2 linked regions of the Anolis sagrei genome follow. The protein of the gene in region 1 purifies or fractionates together with the protein of each later gene. This does not show direct contact. Links are inferred from orthologs where the notes say so. Each region holds a gene or a part of one and is shown on either strand. Other genes may lie near its edges.

Evidence for each region.
Region 2: the proteins of PRP4K (region 1) and ZC3H18 purify together in Homo sapiens (co-immunoprecipitation; 4 studies listed by BioGRID and IntAct, counting the BioPlex papers as one, with this or other methods). This does not show direct contact. The link is inferred for Anolis sagrei from reciprocal best matches to the Homo sapiens genes PRP4K and ZC3H18.

Annotation. Positions count from the first base shown.
Region 1 is NC_090024.1:86,946,661-86,959,392, forward strand, and holds the start of PRP4K (serine/threonine-protein kinase PRP4 homolog), read right to left. Parts: upstream 5,156-12,732; 5' UTR 5,131-5,155; coding exon 5,030-5,130; intron 437-5,029; coding exon 1-436. UniProt on the Homo sapiens protein: Serine/threonine kinase involved in spliceosomal assembly as well as mitosis and signaling regulation. Connects chromatin mediated regulation of transcription and pre-mRNA splicing.
Region 2 is NC_090028.1:26,526,108-26,538,622, reverse strand, and holds the start of ZC3H18 (zinc finger CCCH domain-containing protein 18), read right to left. Parts: upstream 6,373-12,515; 5' UTR 6,166-6,372; intron 4,404-6,165; exon of another isoform or gene 4,384-4,403; intron 1-4,383.

The sequences.
Region 1 (12,732 bases):
AGTCCCATTTCTCATTTTATCATTGATTTCTCCCTCTTCTTCAGAACCTGACTCATAACCCTGCAAAATCAATCCCATGCCAGATTGAACTTTTCCTTCCATTAGCTCATTTTCAAGTTCAGCTTTAAGTAATGCTCTTTGTTTTTCTAAATCTTCCAGGGGCGCTAAGAAATCAATTTTAGTTCTTTTTGCTGGCCCATCTTCCTTATCAGAAGCATCAGCAGCCTCCTTTCGTTTATGCTTCTTATGCTTGTGCCTATGTTTATGCTTTTTGTCCTTATCCTCTTCTGAAGAATGTTTGTGTTTCTTATGTTTGCCTCTATGTTTGTGCTTCTTTTTTTTATGTCGGTTGTGCTTTGTCTGAGGTTGGTCACCTTCTGAAATATCTCCATTTTCTTCATTTGCACTTCTCTCAGAAATATCAGCTTCGTCAATACTATCAACATATAAAAAAGAATATTTCAGGGTCAAATAAAATACTACAATTCAACAGGAAAATTCCATTATGCTATTCATTCAGGGATCTAAACACAACCAATATCTTTGAAACATTCACATTGTGGTCATAAATGGTACTGCACGATTGTGCTGTGCAGTATGGTTCTAATTACTGATATATAGCTGTGAAAAATGGGATATTGGCAATTAGTCTTAGACATCTTTCCATCAACAACTCCCATCCAGAAGATTATTTATAGTCCTTTTCTTTCATGCCAACTCTGCTTCTATTTACAGAGTCAGTTGTTTCAAGAAAATAGGACTCCTAAATACACATCCAGCCCTGCGAACAGACAAGCATCAGGCAACACTATGGAGCAGACATGGGAAACTTGGGCCCTCTGGGTGTTTTAGACTTCAACTCCGACAATTCCTAACAGCTGACTGTTAGTAATTGTGGGAGTTGAAGTCCAAAACACCTGCAGGGCCCAAGTTTGTTCATGCCTGATTTGAAGAGTGGGTGTTTTTATGTAAGGGGGGGGGGGTGAATACAAGGACAGGATTACATTTTAATATTGACTGGCATAGGTGGGGAACCAGTTCTGGTCTGCTTTAAAAAGCAAATGGTACCTGAAGGTAAAGACAATTTGGGAAAAGAACTATGCTCCAAAATGAAACTTCTTGTTATCAAAGTTATTACTTCTTATCTTACCCTTTGTGGGCAAGCTGAACAATTAGTTTACTACCTACACACTCTTTTTATAGTACCTAAGAAGAAGAATGTTTTACTCCTGAACTGTCACGAACTCCAAACATGTTTTCAAAGTACAAATCATTCAGAGGAATTTGAGAGTAGGGTAAGATGGGAGCATCAGAATATTTTAACTCTGATTATCTTTCAACCCTAACAATGTAAGATAATCTTGTGTAATCAAATATTTTTAATAAGTGTAATGAAGATATTAGTACTTATTTTAAGTCAACTGTGGGGGAGGGGGGAGGAGCAAGTAATGACATTCCTATCCCCTACTTGCACATGGTATTTTTCTATTGCCGTGTTTTCCAGACTGGTTTTCCGACTGTTTTGTTGGACTTCAGCTCCCAGGATGCCAAAGCAGCTGAGGTTTCTCGAGTTGAAGTCCAAAAAACTTGGAGGATTAGAATTTAGGAAATACTGCTGTACTGGCTGAGAACCATCTCTCTTTTGCCTGTCCTTAAGACAGAAATCAAATGCGCTAGTGGAGAAACACTGCGCACTTTCCCTCACTTGTATATTTGTTTTCTATAGTAACATGGAAACTTACATAAACAGCTGCTTTTAGGGAACTGGTTTTACAGCCACACAAACATCCATGAGCCAAAACTATTGTAATGTTTTTATAACTTCTTTTTGTACTTATGTGCAGTTACTGTGTAGTATATGCTTTTAACTGCATATATAGAAGCCGCTACACACTTTATTTTGTTAACATTTCAGCTCAATGGCACACTGCACACAGGATTAAGGTCAGTCCTTTGATTAGAAAATCTAGCTAATGACACTCATTTTAGTTCTGAAATCGCCAATACTGCTAATAAAACACAAATGTCATAAAAAGCATTTTTAGCAGTGCATGCCTATTCACAAAATCAATTACCACATTATAAAAATAAAACAGATTTTTAAACACTAGTAGTGCCCTGTCTGTAAATAGTACTAAGTGAATATAAAGAATTATTACATGCACTCTCAAGAGAAACCAAATTTCTAAATACCATGATACTTAAGATTGTACAAGTCAAGTATCTATTACCTGCTAATCCAAAATGCTCCAAAGCTGTCAATGCTACTGGTTGAGATGGTGACATTTTGCTTTCTGATGCTTCAATTTTTGTTTCATACACAAAATTATTAAATATTGTGTATAAGATCATCTTCATGATATTCATGTAATATGTACATAAATTATAAATGATTTTTTAGACCAGAAACTCATCCCATGATATCTCATGAATTATATGCAACTACACGCAGTCCCTAAATTGCAAACATCAGATTTACAAGCAACTCCTACTTAAGTACAGGGGTGAGGTAACAGGAAGCGAGAGAAATCTACCCCTTCCACACAGTTGTATAAAATCCACATTGAACTGGATTATATGGCAGCGTGGATTCAAATAACCTAGTTCCAAGCAGATAATGTGGAGTATCTGCCTTGATATTCTGGGTTATATGGCTGTGTGGAAAGGCCCATAGAGAAAAGGAGTCTCCACTGAAACTTTATCTCCAATTCTTGTTTCCACAACAAGCCTATTTTTTCAAAATCAGATTATTACAGGGACAGAAAGTGGGGTGAAATCTTCTGAACAGGGGCACGGATAGGAAAACAAACACCACAGGGTTGTTAACCCTTCGCTACGGTATCCAAAGCTTTTATATGGCTGGAGTTACACTTTAAAAGTGTACCTGTTCTAAATTACATACAAATTCAACCTAATAATAATTCAACCAAATTCAACCTACAGAATCTATCTTCTTCCTAACTTGGGGACTGCCTGCATTCCAAAGTCCACTCCACTTCCAAACTGAAAACACTTCTGGTCCAAAGTATTTCAAATAAATACCAAAAGCAAACCCTTTGTATCCAGGAGTATAGTTCTAGGACCATCTCCTCAGGGCGTCCTTCCACACAGCCCTATATCCAAGAATATAAAGGCAGAAAATCCCAAAATTATCTGAGTGTGGACACAGATAACCCAGTTCAAAGCAGATATTGTGGGATTTTCTGCCTTGATATTCTGGGATATAGGACTGTGTGGAAGGTTCCAGGGAGATAGGGCAGAATACAGATAGTTTTTGCCAGTAAGATTGCCAGTAAACTGGATTAATGTCGAGAAAGAATGCATGTCTAAAAAAAGTGTGTCACCAACATGAAAAGTTTGGAAAGCTCTGGTATACACAATAGCATTGTAAAATGGTATCTCTTATATCAAATGGCAAAAACAAAGTTTGTTTTGTTTCCCCTCCCCTGGAACATTTTCAAGCCATGAGTAGCTAAATCTGTGGATATGGCGGGCTGGCTGTACTCAAACTATACCAATACTTCCCATGGATACTATATCCATTTTCAACTCATGCAAGGAACAGGCATATTTGTTTGTGAAGCAAACTGCACAAACAAAATATAGCAGACTTTCAGGACCCTTCCAGACAGGCTCCATATCCCAGGATCTGACCCCTGGTTTTCTGCGTACCCCAGATTATCTGGTAGCGGGGACTCATATAATCCAGTTTAAAGCAGAAAACTGGGATCAGACCCTGGGATATATGACCTGTCTCGAAGAGCTTTCAGGCCCCTTCTATGGGCCCTATACATTGCCATATAAAATCCAGGTTATCTGCTTTGAAATTGATTATCTGGCTGTGTTGACTCAGATAATCCAATTCAAAGAAGATAATGTGGGTTTTCAACTTTGATAATCTGGATTATCTGACAGTGTAGAAAGGGCCTACACTGCCATATAAGATCCGGAATATTTGCTTTGAACTGGATTATATAACAGTATTAACTCACACAATCCAGTTCAAAGCAGATAATGTGGATTATCCGCTTTGATAATCTGAATTACATGGAAGCGTAGAAGTGGCCTTGCTTAACTGGTACCCATGGAGATTGGTACATGCCGCATAAAATTGCTTGAGAGTTAGGACCCTTCCAGACAAGCCCTATATCCCAGGATGCGATCCCGGGGGTTTTCTATTTATTCCATATTATCTGGTAGTGCAGACTCATATAATCCAGTTTAAAGAAGAAAACCTGGGATATAGGGCCTGCCTGGAAGGGCCCTATCTGTTAAAAATAGACCTAACTAATATTATACATGCCATAAGCTCTGCACCGACATAATAACATTGAAATAGAGGAAATAAAAGCAAATCGTGACAAATTTAACTAAAGGTAACACTTCTGCTGTTCTATTCTATTATAAAAACAGGTTTTTAAAAACTATTATTTCTTCTTTTTCTGCTAGTTGCCTGAGTTCTGGTTAATTGAGAGCCTACTGGACTGTAATTAGAATTTTAAAAACAATTCAGAGATGGTATGAGAAAATATCCCCACGCCTATAAATCTACAAACATGAAGGAAGACACTGCCTGTAGTTGCCAAACAAATTCCTCCCACGTAAATATGGGAGGGAAACTGTTACAGGTTTTATTATGTGGGGGGAGGGAGAAGTAGCGGGAAAAACTATCGTCTGAGGCCCCTTCCACACAGTTGTATAAAATCCACATTGAACCAGATTATATGGCAGTGTGGACTCCGATAACCCAGTTCAAAGCAGATATTGTGCGTGATCTGCTTCGATATTCTGGGTTATACGGCTGCGTGGAAGGGCCCTGAGGCCCGTCCTACTCTGAAGGCCAGGCTCAGGCACTACTAGGCCCAGCCAAGGCCGCCTCGCGACCACAATAACGGCTCTTCAGGCACGCGCTCCTTCCTTCCCTCCCTTTGTTCTTTCTACTCTTCCTCTCTCCCGCCTTGTCAAAGAGGGCCTAAAAGGACAACAGCGAGGCGTATTTTTTAAGAAGGAAAAACCTGGTCGGCCTTACCCAGAGCCCTGCAGTCCCAGCTCCACTACCGTCGCCGCGGCCATTTTGAACTTCCGAACGACTTCGCCGACGCCGCTGAAGAGAGTGGGGAGCGTGCGCATGCGCGCGAGAGGAACACAACGTCCGAGGAGACAGAACGAGGCACTTAGCGTCAGGGGTGCCGGAAATGAAAACAAAACCTCGCGAGAATAGAAAGGGAAGCCAATCGCAAGGGTAATGGGCAACTCCGGCGAGACTTCAGTGACTCAAATAAACTTCCGGTTCCCAGTCGAATATGAAGCGTCCAAGGCAGAATTACATTCGAGAAGATGAAATGCTTCTTCCCCGCATGTTGCATTGCTCAAATGCGAACCGGAAGTGAGGAATAGAAACAGCACTGCTTGGTTCCTTTGTTCTCTAGTTAAACGCAAGCGGAAAATGGAACATTCTGTTTTAGGGAACGTCTAAAAAGAGACACACGTTTCGAAGGGTCTAGCTCCCTGGCCCCTAGAGGCAGCAAAAACAAGAGGGATCTTGTGGCCTTATAACCCAGAATATCAAGGCAGGAACTCCCACAATATCTGCTTTGTACTGGGTTATTTGAATCCACTGGAGGAATCCCACTGGAGCATTGCAGCACACTCAAATACCTGGGAGTCACTCTGGACCGTGCTCGCTACAAGAAGCACTGCCTGAAAATCAAGCAAAAAGTGGGTGCTAGAAACAATATCATATGAAAGCTGACTGGCACAACCTGGGGATCACAACCAGACACAGTGAAGACATCTGCCCTTGCGCTATGCTACTCTGCTGCTGAGTACGCATGCCCAGTGTGGAACACATCTCACCACACTAAAACAGTGGATGTGGCTCTTAATGAGACATGCTGTATTATCACAGGGTGTCTGCGCCCCACACCACTGGAGAAATTACACTGCTTAGCCGGTATTGCACCACCTGACATCCGCCGGGAAGTAGCAGCCAATAGTGAAAGGACCAAGGCAGTGATATCTCCAGCTCAAGCCTTGTTTGGATATCAGCCAGCATGTCAACGACTTAAATCAAGAAATAGTTTTCTTAGATCTACAGAGACACTTGCTGGAACACCTTGGCAAGCGAGAGTCCAAAAGTGGCAGGCTCAAACCCAGCATCTCAATCCGTGGGTGATACCAGATGAGAGACTCCCCCATGGGCACACGGAGGACTGGGCGACTTGGAAGGTGCTGAAGAGACTGCTCTCTGGCACCACGAGATGCAGAGCCAACCTTAAGAAATGGGGCTACAAAGTTGAATCCACGACATGCGAGTGCAAAGAGCAAACCACTGACCACCTGCTGCAATGCAACCTGAGCCCTGCCACATGCACAATGGAGGATCTCCTTGCGGCAACACCAGAGGCACTCCAAGTGGCCAGATACTGGTCAAAGGACATTTAATCAACTACCAAGTTTGCAAAATCTGTGTTTTTTTAATCTGTTTGTTTGTTTGTTTTGTTCTATTAGAAATATAATATAATGGTATGGTTGCTGATGACACGATAAATAAATAAATCTGAATCCACATTGCCATAGATTCCAGTTCTAAGCAGAAAATGTGGGATATTTTTCAGCTGTGTGAAAGGAGCCTGAGGGGGCTTCCAAAGAGACCCTATGGCCTTTCCATACAGCCCTATATCCCAGAATACCAAGGCAGAAAATTCCACAATATCTGCTTTGAACTGGATTATATGAGTCCACACTCAAATAATGTGGGATTTTCTGCCTTGATATTCTGGGATATAGGGCTGTGTGGAAGGGCCCTATGTCCCAGGATCTGATCACAGGTTTTCTGCTTTAAACTGGATTATATGAATCCACACTGCGAGATAATTTGGGATAAACAGAAAAGATCCTGGGATATAGGGCCTGTCTGGGAGCGCCCTTTGGGCCTTTCCACACGGTCCTATAACCCAGAATATCAAGGCAGACAATCCACAATATCTGCTTTGAACTGGATTTTCTGAGCCCACACTGCCATATAATCCAGATCAATGTGGATTTCATACAGCTGTATGGAATGGACCTTAATAGATCTGCCAGTAAATCTTGCAAATGTTTGTGTGGAGTTCCCTGAAGCACAAAATTGTATCCGGGGTGACATATTATTATGCCAATGTTTGGAAGGGGAACAGTAATTAGGGAGTCATCCCTCCACATTCACAATCATTATTTTGGTTTTCTTTGGCCCCTTCCTTATTTAGTCCTGTAAACAGTGGGAATACCATCCTGCAATCCAGAACTGGAACTAGCGAATTTATCCCGTGCATTCCAAGAAGGCTCAGAATAAACCCACTATCTAATTAATTTGCTACAAACCAGGGTTTCCTGGTTTGTAGCAAATTTATTTGGGGCTGTCCAGAATATTGTTGCTGGCAGAAAAAAGGAAATGCAAAGATACAGAATGGGGGGTGCCTGGCTCCACAGCAGTACATATGAAAAAGATCTTGGAGTCCTCGTGGACAACAAGTTAAACATGATCCAACAATGTGATGCAGTGGCAAAAAAAGCCAATGGGATTTTGGCCTGCATCAATAGTAGATCCAGGGAAGTCATGCTACCCCTCTATTCTGTCTTGGTTAGACCACACCTGGAGTACTGTGTCGAATTCTAGGCACCACAATTGAAGGAGATATTGATAAGCTGGAATGTGTCCAGAGGAGGGCGACTGAAATGGGTTTGGAGAACAAGCCCTATGAGGAGCGGCTTAAAGAGCTGGGCATGTTTAGCCTGAAGAAGAGAAGACTGAGAGGAGACACGATAGCCATGTATAAATATGTGAGGAGAAGTCACCGGGAAGAGGAATCAAGCTTGTTTTCTTGTGCCCTGGAGACTAGGACTTGGAACAATGGCTTCAAACAACAAGAAAGGAGATTCCATCTGAACATTAGGAAGAACGTCCTGACTGTGAGAGCTGTGCAGCAGTGGAACTCTCTACCCTGGAGTGTGGTGGAGGCTTCTTCTTTGGAGGCTTTTAAACAGAGGCTGGATGGCCATCTGTCAGGGGTGCTTTGAATGCAATATTCCTGCTTCTTGGCAGGTCAGTTCCTCACCAAACTACAACTCCCAGGATCCCATAGTAATGAGTCTTGGTTGCTAAAGTGGTCCCAAACTGCATTAACAGTTCTAGTTCACTGTTCTCTATCTATCTATCTTCTATCTTCTATATATATAAAAATGCTCTGTGCATAATGAGTACCTTAAAAACAAAAGAACCAATGAACGAAATCACACCAAATTTGGCAACAGAATGTCTCATGACACAAGGAGTGACCATCACTCAAAAATTATGATTTTGTCATTTGGGAGTTGTAGTTGTTGGGATTTATAGTTCAGCTACAATTAAAGAGCATTCTGAACCCCACCAACGATGGAATTGAACCAAACTTGGCACACAGGACTCCCCTGACCAATGAAAAACACTAGGAGGGTTTGGTTGGTAGTGTCCTTTGGTTTTGGAGTTGTAGTTCACCTACTTCCAGAGAGCACTGTGGACTCAAACAATGATGGATCTGGACCAAACTCTACACGAATACTCAATATGCCCAAATGTGAACACTGGTGGAGTTTGGGGAAAATAGAATCTTGACATTTGGGAGTTGTAGTTGCTGGGATTTATAGTTCACGTACAATCAAGAAGCATTCTGAACCCCACCAACGACAGAATTGGGGCAAACTTCCCACACAGAACCCTCCTGACCAACAGAAAATACTGTGTTTTCTGGTGGTCTTTGGTGACCCTTCGGACACCCCCTCGCAGCCTCCCCCCCCAGGGGTCCCAAACCCCAGGTTTAGAAATGCTGCTTTAAGGCCATCCAGTCCAACACCCTTCACCAAAGCAAAAAAACATAAAGCCCTTCTGACAAAGAGCCATCCAGCCATAGATATAAATATATATGATTCACGTACACACACACACACACACACACACGCTTATGACAGATATAGTACCATAGATTTGAAAAGGACAATGATATATTGCATGTTCCAGAGCAGGCAGACCAGACAATCTCCACATCAACATTGACAAAGAGACAGAAAGAAATACTGTTTACCCACAAGCATCAAGATATTACATATATTAGAAACCAACACTTTCTCATTACTTTATTTTCCAGATCACCAGACTGGGCCACAGCAATGCGTGGCAGGTGACCGCTAGTTCAAAATAAAACCAATGAAGTCTTAAAAGTCATGGCTATAGGGGAAAAAACTCTGCTCCTTAATAAAAAAAAACTGGGTTCTTGTAGGTTTTTTCGGGCTATAGGGCCATGTTCTAGAGGCATTTCTCCTCTAGAACAAAAAAAACTGCCTGAAATCCTTCTTTAGGCTCCTTCCACACAGCTGTATAAAATTCCACATTGTCTGCTTTGAACTGGGTTATATGGCAGTGTGGACTTAGATAACCCAGTTCAAAGCAGATAGTGTGGATTACCTGCCTTGATATATTCTGAGTCATATGTATATGTTGAAGGGCCCCTAGAAGAATTTGCACATGCTCCCTTTGTGTCTCGGTGGGCGGGATCAATGCCATGTTTCCCTGGGATGTTGCAGCTGGCAAATGGGATTGGAGGAACGGAAGTGGAGAGCGACCAATGGGAGCCCTCCTAGACCTTCGCCCCTGCGAAGCAGAATGGAACATTCCACCCCTCCCCCCGAGGCCAAGATTTGCAGAGGTCCTGCATCGCTCTCCTCTGCACCGCGCTCATTCAGAGGCGGAGGATCTGAGATCGTTGGGTTAATATATTATTTTCCGCAGATCTCTTCGCCAAGGATAACTGAGGTATGTTTGTGTCTGTTCTTTCCTGGTTGCCCTTGAGATAGGAAGGAGGAAGCAATGGCTGGGTTATTTCTCTTGGCTGGCCTTTGGGTAATAAAAGGCAAGCAGGGCCTGAACCATGCAATCTCATGTTGGGCTAAGCCTCTTACTCTTTACTTAAGATTTTTAAGCTCTGCTTGTTCCTCCACTAAAGGGGAAACTACATGTTTATCATGCTTGATGAATGCAAGGCTGGGGTAAAAATTGCTGGAAGAATAATTAACAACCTTAGATATGCAGATGATACCACCTTGATAGCCGAAAGCGAGGAGGAGCTGAGGAGTCTTCTATTTAAGGTGAAAGAAGAAAGCGCAAAAGCTGGGTTGCAGTTCAACATAAAAAAACCCCAAGATCATGGCAACAAGAATGATTGACAACTGGGAAATAGAGGGAGAAAACGCGGAGGCAGTGACAGATGTTGTATTTCTAGGTGCAAAGATTACTGCAGACTACGCCAGGACATATGGTACACACACACACAAACACACACACACTATTCCTAAAGGTAAAGGTAAAGGTAAAGTCTACTCGTGTCCGACTCTGCGGGTTGGTGCTCATCTCTATTTCTAAGCCGAAGAGCTGGCATTGTCCATAGACACCTATGAAGTCATGGCCAGCATGACTTCATAGAGTGCTGCAGCCAGGAAATCAGAAGACACTTACTTCTTGGGAGGAGAGCAATGACCAATCTCGATAAAATAGTAAAGAGTAGGGACATTTATTTATTTATAGTATTTATATACCACTTTTCTCCCCCTAGGGGGACTCAAAGCGGTTTACACATAGATAATGGCAAAATTCAATGCCTTACAACTACAATAGTAAAACCACACATTAGATATAAATCATATTAAAAGCAATACATCATCAAGCATCAAAACCATAAAACAATCTCATCAGTCGAGTCGCCGTTCCAGTCCTTGTCCCTTTAAAAAGCTGCATACATCTATTGTCCAGAGGCCTGGTCCTCGAACCATGATTTTAATTTTTTCCCTAAAGGTCAGGAGAGAGGGAGCAGATCTTACTTCCTTTGGGAGTGTGTTCCATAGGCGGGGGGGGGGGGGCACAGCCGAGAAGGCCCTGCTCCTTATCCCCACCAGCTGCATTTGCGCTGTTGACGGGAGCGAGAGCAGGGCCTCCCCGGATGATCTTAAGTTGCGAGGTGGCAGATGAGTTAGAACAAGTAAGCTGGGCCAGAACTGTATAGAGATTTATAGGTCAAAACCAGGACTTTGAATTGGTCTCGGAGATGGACTGGCAGCCAGTGGAGCTGGCATAGCAGGGGGGTGGTGTGCTCCCTATATGCTGTCTCGGTTAGTAATCTGGCTGCCGCCTGTTGAACTAACTGACATCACACTGGCAACGAAGATCCGCATAGTCAAAGCAATGGTATTCCCCATAGTCCCCTATGGGTGTGAGAGCGGGACCATAGGGAAGGAAGATAGCGAAGGAAGATAGATGCTTTTGAACTGTGCTGTTGGAGGAAAGTTCTGAGCATGCCTTGGACCACCAGAAGATCCAACCAGTCCATACTTCAGGAAATAAAGCCCGGCTGCTCATTGGAGGGAAGGATATTAGAGGAAAAGATGAAGTACTTTGGGCACATCATGAGAGGACAGGAAAGCTTAGAGAAGACAACTATGCTGGAGAAAATGGAAGGAAAAAGGAAGAGGAGCCAACCAAGGGCAAGATGGATGGATGGTATCCTTGAAGTGACTGGATTGACCTTGAAGGAGCTGAGGGTGGTGACAGCCGACAGGGAGCTCTGGCGTGGGCTGGTCCACGAGGTTACAAGAGCCGGAAGCGACTGAATGAATGTACAACAACAAGCATTGAATTTTGCTCTGTTTACTGCCTTGAGTCGCCTACGGGCTGAGAAAGGCGGTATACAAATACAGTAAATAAATAAATGTTCCAGAAGCATTCTCTCCTGACATTTCACCCACATCTACGGCAGGCATCCTCAGAGGTTGTGGGTTCTGTTGGAAACTAGGCAAGGAGGTTTATATATCTGTGTAGTGTGCATGGTGGGAGAATAACTCTTGTCTGTTTGAGGCAGGTGTGAATGTTGCAATTGCCCCCCTTGATTAGCATTTAATGGCCTGCAGTTTCAAGGCCTTGCTGGTTGCTGCCTGGGGAAATGTATGATTATTATATTATTTACTTATTTATTAATTTATTATTTGAACTGTGGTGTTGGAAGAAAGTTCTGAGAGTGCCTTGGACAGCGAGAAGATCCAACCAGTCCATACTGCTGGAAATAAAGCCCGACTGCTCATTGGAGGGAAGGATAGTAGAGGCCAAGATGAAGTACTTTGGCCACATAATGAGAAGAAAGGAAAGCTTGGAGAAGACAATAATGCTGGGGAAAATGGAAGGAAAAAGGAAGGGGGGGGGGTGACCAAGGGCAAGATGAATGGATAGCATCCTTGAAGTGACTGGATTGACCTTGAAGGAGCTGGGGATGGTGATGACCAACAGGGAGCTCTGGCGTGGGCTGGTCCATGAGGTTACAAGAGTTGGAAACGACTGAATGAATGAACAACAACAAATTTTATTTACTGCATTTCTCTGCCCGAAGGCGGGTACAGCTAGTGTATAATAAATATATATTATGAAACAATGGGAATTAAAACAAGCTATTATGTATGTGTCTCTGCTTCTGTTTATTTTAATTTAAATAATTTAAATTTAATTCTATCTTGCCTTTCTCCTGGTATAGGGACTTGAGGCAACTAGCAACAAATATGAAACAAATGGAAATCAAGACAAGCTACGTGCATTAAAACAGAAATATAATTTTTTTAAAAATAGTTAAGCCATTTTTATAATGAAAACCATGAAACTTTTAACATATTAAAATGAATTAA
Region 2 (12,515 bases), on another chromosome or scaffold:
ACATCATCAGAGTCGCATTATTCTCAAGCATTGTCCAGTTCCATTGTCAGGTCATTCGATTTCCTATATTAGCTACTCTGTATTTGTAAACACTTGCTCAAATAGCCATGTTTTAACTTGCCTCCGAAACGTCAAGAGGGAGGGAGCAGATCTGATCTCCCTAGGGAGGGCGTTCTATAGCCGAGGGGTCACCACTGAGAAGGCCCTGTCTCTCGTCCCCGCCAAACATGCTTGTGACGAAGGTGGGACTGAGAGCAGGGCCTCCCCAGATGATCTTAAAGTCCTCCGTGGTTCGTAAATATAAACTTATTAGTATTTCAATGGGAAATGTGGGCCTGATTTGGCTGATGAGATAGGATTGTTGTTGTTGTGTCAGAATTAGGTTAACCCTGAGCGAAGGCCAGGTAAATGACCTTGGAGGGCCGTATCCGGCCCCCAGGCCATAGTTTGAGGACCTCTGTCTTACAGTTTTGTCCATGACAATGGATTTCAAAGAATGATCCCCCCTCACGCTGAGCCACAAAGGACACAGTGCACAAGACAGCAACCTAGTGCCCCATGTAAGCAGTAAACCCAGCAACTTGTGTAGAAACACAAGAAAAAACATAACATCTCAAGTATTCATCCAAATCCATGCTTCTGACCTTGTGAAATTAAACATGAGTGATATCTACAGTTTACCAGGTGAGTCAGTCCCAGCCATTATGCACACAGCGACAATTTTGCCTATTTAGCAGAGCACTTGATGAACCAACCTGGACACAGAATTTTATTTGAGAACACAGAAATGCTGGACCACTCTCACATCTACCATATCAGACATCACAGAGAAGCCATCGAAATCCACAAGCATGTGGACAATTTTAACAGAAAGGAGGAAACTATGAAAATGAACACAAACTGGCTGTAAGTATTAAAAAACTCTAAAATCAGGACAGTAAATGAAGAACACTCAGAAAACAGGGAAATTACACACACATAATAATGAAGGCCAGCTAATCACCTCCCAACAAAGGATTCCTCCAGGCAGAAAGCAGCCAAGCCTTGAAGTTGCAAGGTTATTAACTGCTAATCAAGGTTCAGCATTCACACTTGCCTCAAACAGACAAGAGTTCTTTCTCCCACGCTGGACATTATTTCACAGATATATAAACCCTCCTTGCCTTCTTTCCAACAAACCCCACAACCTCTGAGGATGCCTGCCATAGATGTGGGTGAAACATCAGGAGAAAATGCTTCTGGAACATGGCCAGACAGCCTGGAAAACTCAAAGCAACCTAATTTAGCTTATTCTTTCCTTAAATCACCTGCTTCAGTGGCATAATATCCCATTCTCTAACTCTCTGTAAAGTGAATGTCACATAAAGCCAATACATGCACAAAATTCAGAGACTTACTCAGACTGAAGAACACATAAAATCATGGCACACTTGGGTTTCTAATCCCAGACTTGGGGCACACTACAAAGTATATTTTTAGGAGAGGCAAGCATATCACAAGGGTTTTTTTTTGTTAAGATTAGTTTAGATGGGGTTTTATCTTTGTCTTCCTCTGAGGCTGAGAGGGTGTGACATGCCCAAGTGGGATTTGAACCCTGGTCTGCAAAGTTAATACTCAAGCCACTGCACCATGCTGGTCCCTAAAACATCTCTCCATACTGCTCAGTAATCTTCTGTATATATTGCTCCTTTCTCCTGAAGGAAATATTTATGGTCTGTACTACTAGACCACCAAAACAAACATTCTGCAAATGATGGAGACTGACAAAATGATATGTAGTGATCAGCTATCATTGTTTGGAATGATAGGAACCCCTGGAGGCGCAATGGGTTAAACCTTTGTGCCGGCAGCACTGCTAACCGAAAGGTTGGCAGTTTGAATCCGGGAAGCGGGGTGAGCTCCCATCTGTCAGCTCCAGCTTCTCATGCGGGGACATGAGAAAAGCCTCCAACAGGATGGTAAAACATCCAGGCATCCCCTAGGCAGCGTCCTTCCAGACGGCCAATTCTCTCACACCAGAAGCGACTTGCAGTTTCTCAAGTCACTCCTGACACGAAAAAAAAATGTATGGAATATACTGGTAGGCAACCAACAAGCTTTAAAAAGTTTAACTTTCAAATGCTGTGACGACACAATATAAACATGTCCAAACATAGGCATTAGGACAGATTCAGGACACAGGCATTAGAATAGATTTAGTCAGAATGATCCTGAATAAGACAGGATTAATCCTTCCAGCATTTTTAGACTATCAAATTTCCCCAAAGTGTCAACTGAACTAACGTTTCAGGATTTGAAAATGCTTCTAACCGCTTTCTGTTAAACATTGGCTCTAGGTAATAAAGGATAGCGTGGGTAAGCTGCCCACAAATTAGACATTCAGATACTACTACTGCAGAGGTCAAAGTAGACATCAAACACATCCATGATCAAAAAAAGGCCTGCAGTACCAGTTGTTTTCTAATTACAATCTTAAGTTATTAAGCCAAATCAGATATTAACTTCATCTCAACACAACTTGCTTACAATGTGAAAGCATAATATATGAAGTCTCTAAAGATGAGTTAAAAACATGGTTCCCACTGATAGTTGAAAGAAAAACACAATTTGGGAGGACATCAACAAATGAACAATGAAACTGCTAGTCTGAATCATGCTTCTCACATTACCACAGAGTTCCCTACAAGTGTCACCTCCCAGGAACATGAAGGGGGCTCTAGATTCAGTACTAACCTCTGGTCGAAAGGATCATGTGAAGCTGAGAAGAGATGTCTCTGCTAGAGGCTATGAACAACACTCAGGGCAATGGTACGATTCAGTACAAGGCATCTTTTCATAGCGTGTGGCTATCAATGAATGGCATAGCACACACAAAAGGATCTAGATTAATACAAGGAGCCATGCTGGACCAGGCCTAAAACCTACCTAGTCCATTGTGACTCAATCGAAGTCTAATGTTTACATTAAGGAAAATCATAGTCCCCTTCTCTTCTGCTTTGGTCAGACCTCACCTGGAACAACCCTATACCTGAATATCACAACTCAAGAAGGATATGGATGAGTTGGAATATATCCAGAGAAAGACGGTCAAAACTGCCAAACTGGTTTAGGGTGCTGGGGATGCTTAGCTTGGAGAAAAGAAGGCTGTGAGGAGAAATGATAGCCATGTTTAAATATCTAAAAGGATGCAACATTCAGGAGAGAGCAAGCTTGTCTTCTGCAGCTGTAGGAACCAGGACACAATGGAGGAATAGATTCCAAAAGCAGGAACAGAGATATTGTACTACCTAATCATTAGGAAGAACATCCTGACGATAAGAGATGTTCAACTATGGAATATGGAACTGGATTTCTTTTTGCTTTTCTCTGGAGATTTTTCAAGCAGAGTCCATCTGTTAGGATTGTGTCTTTCCTGCTTGGCAGAATGGGGTTGGATTGGATGGCATTTCAGGGTACCTGGTTACCAGGGGAATATAAACTGCCTCGGAGTGTGAGGAAATCTCCTTATCTGGAGGTTTTTAAGCAGAGGCTGGGTGGTCCTTGGGGTCCCTTCCAGCTCTAGGATCCTATGATAGATAGAGCTCTAAACACACATACATCCAGGTGTTGGACTGGATGGCCCTTGGGGTTCCTTACAGCTCTATGATCCTATGATAAATAGAAAGACAGATACATCAATAGATCTCTATACACACATACATAACGAGGTAATTGTTCTATGATTGATTGATTCACTGACAGATCTTTATACACACAGACATCAGGGGTTGGACCAGGGATCCCCTTGCAGCTTTAGAATCCTATGATAGATAGATAAAATGAACTCTAAATACACATTCAGGGGCTGCATTGGATGACCCTTGGGATCCCTTCCAACTCAATGATTCTATGATTGATATAAAGATATCTAAAAACACATACATTCAGGGGTTGGACTGGATGGCCCTTGGGGTCCCTTAGAGCTTTAGGATCGTATGATAAATAGATAGGCCTCTATACACACATACAGAGATTGCACTGGGGGCACTTGGGGTCCCTTCCAGCTCTAGAATCCTATGATAGATAAAAAGAACAAACCCTAAAATTCATCCAGGGGTTTGACTGGGCAGCCCTAGGGGTCCCTTCCAGCTCTAGTATCCTATGATAGACAGAAAGATAGATTCATAGATAAATCTCTATACACACATACATCCAGGGATTGGACAGGATAGCCCTTGGGGTCCCTTCCAGCTCTAGGATCCTATGATAGATAGATAGATAGAGCTCTAAGCACACATACATCCAGGGGTTGGACTGGATGGCCCTTGGGGTTCCTTAAAGCTCTAGGATCCTGATAAATAGAGAGATAGATACATCAATAGATCTCTATACACAAATACATACAGGGGTAACAATTCTATGGTTGATTGATTGATAGATCTCTATACACACAGACATCAGGGGTTAGACCAGGTAGTCCTTGGGGTCCCTTCCAGCTCTAGGATCCTATGATAGATAGATAGATTCATAGATAGATCTCTATACACACATATATACAGGGGTAACGATTCTATGGTTGACTGATTGATTGATCTCGATACACACATACATCCAGGGGTTGGACTGGATGGCTCTTTCAGCTCTAGAATCTTATGATGGATAGAAAGATAAGACACATAGACAGATCGCTAGACACATAAATACAGGGGTTGGACTGGGTAGCACTTATAGCTTTAGAATCCCATGATTGATTGACTGACTGATAGATAGATAAAAAGAACTCTAAACACACACCCAAGGTCTGGACTGGATGGCCCTTGAGGCCGCTTACAGCTCTAGAATCTTATGATAGATAGATAGACAGATCTCTAGACACATACATACCAAGGTTGGACTGGGTAGCACTTGGGGGTCCCTTACAGCTTTAGAATCCCATGATTGATTGACTGACTGATAGATAGATAAAAAGAACTCTAAACACACATCCAGGATCTGGCCTGGATGGCCCTTGAGGCCGCTTACAGCTCTAGAATCTTATGATAGATAGATAGACAGATCTCTAGACACATACATACCAAGGTTGGACTGGGTAGCACTTGGGGGTCCCTTACAGCTTTAGAATCCCATGATTGATTGACTGACTGATAGATAGATAAAAAGAACTCTAAACACACATCCAGGATCTGGCCTGGATGGCCCTTGAGGCCGCTTACAGCTCTAGAATCTTATGATAGATAGATAGACAGATCTCTAGACACATACATACCAAGGTTGGACTGGGTAGCACTTGGGGGTCCCTTACAGCTTTAGAATCCCATGATTGATTGACTGATAGATAAAAAGAACTCTAAACACACATCCAGGATCTGGCCTGGATGACCCTTGGGGCCCCTTTCAGCTCTAGAATCTTATGACAGATAGAAAGATAGAGACATAGACAGATCTCTAGACACATACATACTGGGGTTGGACTGGGTAACACTTGGGGGTCCCTTACAGCTTTAGAATCCCATGACTGATTGACTGACTGAAAAAGAGAACTCTAAACACACATCCAGGGTCTGGACTGGACGGCCCTTGGGGCCCCTTTCAGCTCTAAGATCCTATGATAGATAGAAAGATAGAGACATAGACAGATCTCTAGACACATACATTGATTGACTGACTGACTGAAAAAGAGAACTCTAAACACACATCCAGGGTCTGGACTGGGTAGCACTTGGGGGTCCCTTACAGCTTTAGAATCCCATGACTGATTGACTGATAGATAGGTAGGTAGATAAAAAGAACTCTAAACACACATCCAGGGGCTGGGCTGGATGGCCCTTGGGGCCCCTTCCAGCTCTAGGAGCCTATGATAGATAGAAAGATAGATAGATCTCTATACATTAAGCATGGGCAAACTTCGGCCTGGTGTTTTGGACTCCAACTCCCTTACATTGTGGGAGTTGGGAGTCCAAAACACCTTGAGGGCCAAAGTTTGTTCATGCCCTGCTATACACATACACATCCCGGGGTTGAATTGGGTGTCCCTTCCAGCTCGAGGATCCTATGATAGAGAGATAAACAGATAGACAGACAGAGCACTAACATACGGCTCCAAAGGCCCGGCAGAATTCGTTCCCGAGAGAGAGAGAGAGATATCTCTGTGCGGGCTGAGTAGGCCTCAGGCCTCGCGCTCCTCACCTGGCCCGGCGGGGAGGGGTCGGGGAGCGGCAGCCGCCAAAGGCAGGCAGGCGGGTGGGCGGGCGGGAAGGGGCAGGCGGGGAGAAGCCGTTCCCTGAAGCGGCGCGGCAATGGCCTCCCTACTGGCGGCGAAGCAGGGCGGCCATGGCGCAACGTCATCCGGGCGCGACGGCAACGGCGAGCGCGAGGCGGCTCTAGGAAAAAAGGAGGCGGAAAAGTGGGCGTGGTCCTCGATGCGCGTGCGCAGTAGAGGACAGCCGGGAGGCGGAGCGACGGGAGGCGTCGTTAGCCAATAAGAAAGCTGAATTCTAAATAGAGCTGAGGGAGGAAAAAAAAAAAGATTGAGACTACCAAATTGCGCCTGCGCAGAAAAAAGGGCGGGGAATCAAAGTGGAGTCGTGATAAGGCAGGCCCGGTAGCCAATCGGAGCCAAGGAAAGGGAGGTGGGCGGAGCAATGGAGGAAAGTGGGTAGGCAATAAGGGAGGAAAGAAGGGACTGAGTTGATGCGAAGTGCGCGTGAGCAAAAAGGCAAGCGGGGAAAGGGCCCGGATAGCCAATCAGAGCCGGGGAAAGAGAGAGAGGCGGGGCGACGGGGGAAAGTGGGTAGCCAATGAGGGAGCTGCATTCTCAATGGAGAAGTAAAAGGAGGAGTAGCATCAATAATAATAATAATAATAATAATAATAATAATACTTTTTGTATCTTAAAGAATTAAAATGCAATAAAAACACAAACTGTGAATAATATTTTTATTTCTTAATTAAAATGCAACAAAACAAACATGAATATTAGCACCTTTTATATATATATATATATAATAATACTTTTTGTTTTTTAAGTAAAATGCAATAAAAATACAAACTGAATAATAATAATTTTATATCTTAATTAAAATGCAATAAAACAAACATGAATATTAGCACTATTATAGATATATATAATACTTTTTGTTTCTTAAGTAAAATGCAATAAAAACAAACTGAATAATAATATTTTTTTAATTTTCTTAATTAAAATGCAATAAAACAAACATGAATATCAGCACCTTTATTATATATATAATAATAATACTTTTTGTTTCTTAAAGAATTAAAATGCAATAAAAACACAAACTGAATAATATTTTTATTAATTAAAATGCAACAAGACAAACATGAATATTAGCACTTTTTATTATATATATAATAATACATTTTGTTTCTTAAGTAAAATGCAATAAAAACACAAATTGTGAATAATAATATGTTTTATTTCTTAATTAAAATACAATAAAACAAACATGAATATTAGCACCTTTATTATATATATATATATATATTAATAATACTTTTTGTTTCTTAAACAATTAAAATGCAATAAAAACACAAACTGTGAATAATATTTGTATTAATTAAAATGCAATAAAACAAACATGAATATTAGCACCTTTATTTCTTAAAAAGTAATACAACAAAAAGTATAAATAATCATACCTTTTGTTTCTTAACAGTTGAAATTCAATCAAACACAAACTATGAATAATAATAAATTTATTTCTTAAGAATTTAAATGCAATGCAAACATAAAAAGTAGTGATAGCTTTTATTTCGTGAGAATTAAAATGCAATACATTTTTAAAGTACAAGGTTTATCTGGAAAACAAGATTACAAGGCACGTAGCTCTCGCAGGGAATTTTCTCGGGAAGTTGGCATCACTTCCATGTAGCTAATGAGCAGTGCCAGTTGTCAGCAGCTCATCGACTGGCGTTTTGGTGAAGGTTAGAGATGTGCACCCTCATTCTGTTTCCCTCCAAGTGCAAAGTTCGCACTGTAATATGCTACCTAAATGCTAAGGGCAAGAACGCCACTGTGATTCATGGTGAAATCATTTCAGTTTATGGAGAGGACATAATGTCAAGATAGCAAGTGACAAAATGGGTATGGTGTTGTAGTTCAGCCTGTGATTGTGTCTGATGGTCATGACAGAAATGGAAATGAAGGGCTTTCTGGGCCTGGGTCTGTCAGCAATGGGGATGAGGGTTTGCTTGGGCTTGAGTTAACCCCAGACGAGAGGCCCAAGATGTCCCATGAAGATTCACAAGGTCACATTCCTGGGAGAGGCCTTCAGCAATCTTTCTCAGAGGGCCCATCCAGACAAGACCTTTATTGCAGGAACTCCTGCAATAAAGGAAGGGCTGTCCAGACAATGTTCTGGACAGTCCCACATTATTTATTTATTTCTCAGCCCTTCTGATTGGCCCAGACGCACCGCAGCAGCCCTGTGATTGTCCCACGCGCTCAGAGGGCAGCTGAGCCTCCTCCCAGCTGTTGTGGCATCAGCCAAGTGGAGGGCGGGGAGTGGGAGATTTGAACCACACAACTCTGCATTTCTATAAAAGTGGCATTTATTTGTGTAACCACATGATTAGCTTGGCGAATGATTGCAGCTCTGCATCCTTTTCAGCCGAATCGCTAAATATTGAGTATTTGTGCCAAGTTTGGTCATTGTTTAAGTCCACAGTGCTCTCTGGATATAGTTGAACTACAACTCCAACACTCAAGGTCAATGCCCACCAAACCCTTCCAGTAGTTTCTGTTGCTCATGGGAGAACTGTGTGCCAAGTTTGGTTCAATTCCATCATTGGTGGAGTTCAGAATGCTCTTTGATTGCAGGTGAACTATAAATCCCAGCAATTACAACTCCCAAATGACAAAATCAATTTTTTTAGAGAAGGACATACATTGGGTTGCTAGATGTCTTGTGTCCAAATTTGGTGTCAATTCGTCCAGTGGTTTTTGAGTTCTCTTAATCTCACAAACGAACACTACATTTTTATTTATATAGATTTAAATACAACAAAAACAAACAGTAGTATTACCAATATTAATAATACATTTGATTTCTTAATTTGATTTCTTAGAAATGAAAATGCAATAGAAACACAGAAACTTAATTCAATAGCAATGATCCATGACAGTTCGGCGTCAAACTGCATTAATTCTGCAGTGTGGATGTACCCATGAAGGTTTGGAAAGTTCATTAGGGAGTTGGCTTTCCAAGATATCTAATGATATCTATGCAAGGATGGCAAAATCCAGATAAAATCAGAAATGTGGTCCATTTCGGATAAAGGATGCTCAACCGTACAGGGTGGCTTTTGTGTTTGCAAACGCAAGAGGGAGCTCAGACCCAACAAATAATACAAAGTAAGCTGAATAAATGGTTTGCTTCCAACTTCAAGGAGCCAAATCATCAAACAGAATGAAACTCTGGCACAAATCAAAGCTGGCTTGCTAGGCGTGAGCTCCAACTGGGCCCCTTCTCTCCAAAATGAGCATTTTAATAAGCCCTTTATGATAATCCTAGAGAAGAAGAAGAAGGCCAAACGTCAAGGGATTTTAAACATGAAATGATAGCAGAAAGGTTGGAAAGTATTATCATTGCAATATATACCAATTGCTATGTAGAATTAATGCAGTTTGGCATCACCTTAACTGCCCTGGCTCAATGCTATGGAATCCTGGGAGTTACAGTTTGTATTTATTTATTTATTTATTTATTTATTTTATATACCGCTTTTCTCAGCCCTCAGGTGACTCAAAGCGGTGAACAACATCAATACAAAACATCACGAGACAAGCATAGGGCAATTAAGAACAATTGTAACATAAATCATTTAACATCCGTATAACAATAATTAGTGCCTCAACAGTAAAATCAGAATCCAGTCTCATCATCCATTATTCCGTATTCCTATGTTCAATTACACTGTTTAATCAAATGCTTATTCGAACAGCCAGGTCTTCACTTTCCTCCAAAACGCCAGCAGGGAGGGAGCCGATCTGATATCTGCAGGCAGGGCGTTCCACAGCCGAGGGGCCACCACTGAGAAGGCCCTGTCTCTCGTCCCCGCCAAGCGTGCCTGTGATGCAGGCGGGACCGAGAGCAGGGCCTCCCCAGATGATCTTAGTACCCTTGGACCTTGCAAAACTACAACTCCCAGGATCGCATAGCATTGAGCCAAGGCAGATAAAGTAATGCTGAACTGCATTCATTCAACAATGTAGATACGCCCTTGGTAAAGCATCTCCATAGTATTGTTATTGGTATTTATATCTCACTTTTTCTCTCTCAAGCAAAGCTCAAGGCAGCTAACATGGTGCGTTCTGCACTGGAGAATTAATGCAGTTTGGCATCACTTTAACTGCCCTGGCTCAATGCTATGCAATTCTGGGAGTTGTAGTATCCCAAGGTCTTTATCCTTCTCTGCTGGTGCCACACCGAACTTCAACTCCCAGGACTCCATAGCAGTTGAACTGCATTCATTCTGCAGTGTAGATGCATCCCATAAGAAATCTCCGGAGATGGCCATTTTGGTGATTGCTCCCAAAATTGATCCAGTGATGAATATCTTTTTTAATTAGATTGCACCACCTGACATCCGCCGGGAAGTAGCAGCCAATAGTAAAAGGACCAAGGCAGTGACATCTCCAGCTCATCCCCTGTTTGGGTATCAGCCAACACGTCAATGACTTAAATCAATAGTTGTGTAAGATCTACAGAGACACTCGCTGGACACACCTCAGCAAGCGAGAGTCCAAAAGTGGCAGGCTCAAACCCAGAACCTCAATCAATGGCTGATACTAAATGAGAGACTCCCCCCTGGGCACACAGAAGACTAGGTGACTTGGAAGGCACTGAACAGACTGCACTCTGGCACCACGAGATGCAGAGCCAACCTCAAGAAATGGGGCCACAAAGTGGAATCCACGATATGCGAGTGTGGAGAAGAGCAAACTACTGACCACCTGCTGCAATGCAACCTGAGCCCTGCCACATGCACAATGGAGGACCTTCTTATAGTAACACCAGAGGCACTCCAAGTGGCCAGCTACTGGTCAAAGGACATTTAATCAACTACCAATCTTGCAAACTTTGTGTTTTGTTTGTTTGTTTGTTTAAAAATGCAATACAACTGTTTGGCTTGCTCCTGACATGATAAATAAAATCCCATAAGAAATCTCCGGAGAAGGCCATTTTGGTGGTTGCTTCCAAAACTGATCCAGTGATGAATATCTTCTTTTAATTAGATAGATGTCCAGACATTAATCGGTTGCTATGCAGGTGCCTTTTGCCTAGCAACACTTTTAGCCCTCTCTTCGTTATATTTTCAATCCAGTGCTGTTTTGAATAGGGCTGAGGTTTCCACTAGGCCTGGGCAACAACGCAAAAATTTGTTTCTAAAATCGATTTGTATTTGGGGGGTTTTTGCGTTTCGATATTTAAAATAATTACAAAATTTTCCTTTGAAAAAGTTCAGTATTTACGAAATTTCGTTAATTTCGTTTTTAGAATATTTTTTGAATTTTTTTGAAATATTTATTTATAAATATTTTTTGAAATATTTAAAAATGGAAAATTAACAATGCTTGCCCTGTTGTGGAGCGAACACAGCCACAGGACAGGGACAAACTCACACACACAGGCACACAAGGGTCTTTTCTTTTTTTAGAATATTTTTTGAATTTTTTGAAGCATAAAAGAAAAATATTTTTCAGAAATATTTAAAAATGGAAAATTAACAATGCTTGCCCTGTTGTGGAGCGAACACAGCCACAGGACGGGGACAAACTCACACACACAGGCACACAAGGGTCTTTTCTTTTTTTAGAATATTTTTTGAATTTTTTTAAGAATAAAAGAAAGATATTTTTCAGAAATATTTAAAAATGCTTGCCCTGTTGTGGAGCGAACGGCAAAGCCTCCCCGCTGCTCCCAGCCCAGGGAATGAATGAATGCAAGCAATGAATGAATGCAAGCCAAGCCTCCCTCCCGAACCTCCCGTCTCCTCGCCTTCCCCAGCAATGAGCAATGCGGCCACGCGGAGCCGCTTTTAAAGAGCAGCCCGCCCAATCACAATCAGCCACAGTGCTTGGGAGTGCAGGATTGGCTCCCAGCGCACCCAGCATCCTCCATCCCTAAAACGTCATTTCCGAAACGGGCGGAAGCCCATAAAAAAGATGGAGGATGCCGTTTCGATATTTAAAAACACTTCCGGGTTTGAAAATATGTTTTGTAATCGTTTTGTAATTGCTAAAAATAACGAATATTTAACGAATTACAAAATTAACGAACGAAACCACCCAGGCCTAGTTTCCACCCTTTTGCGTGTTTAAAATCGTTTTAGCTCACAGTTATAATCTTGGTGTGTATTATTGTTATTTTTTACTTCTTTTTCTCTGAAAGACACTCGATGTGGTGAACTGTGGCAAAAACAATACAATATGCCATTATAGCCTAAAGGCTATAATAAACAGTGAAATAGAATGTGGAACTGTCTAAAAACGAGTAAGTAAAACCAATTTAAAA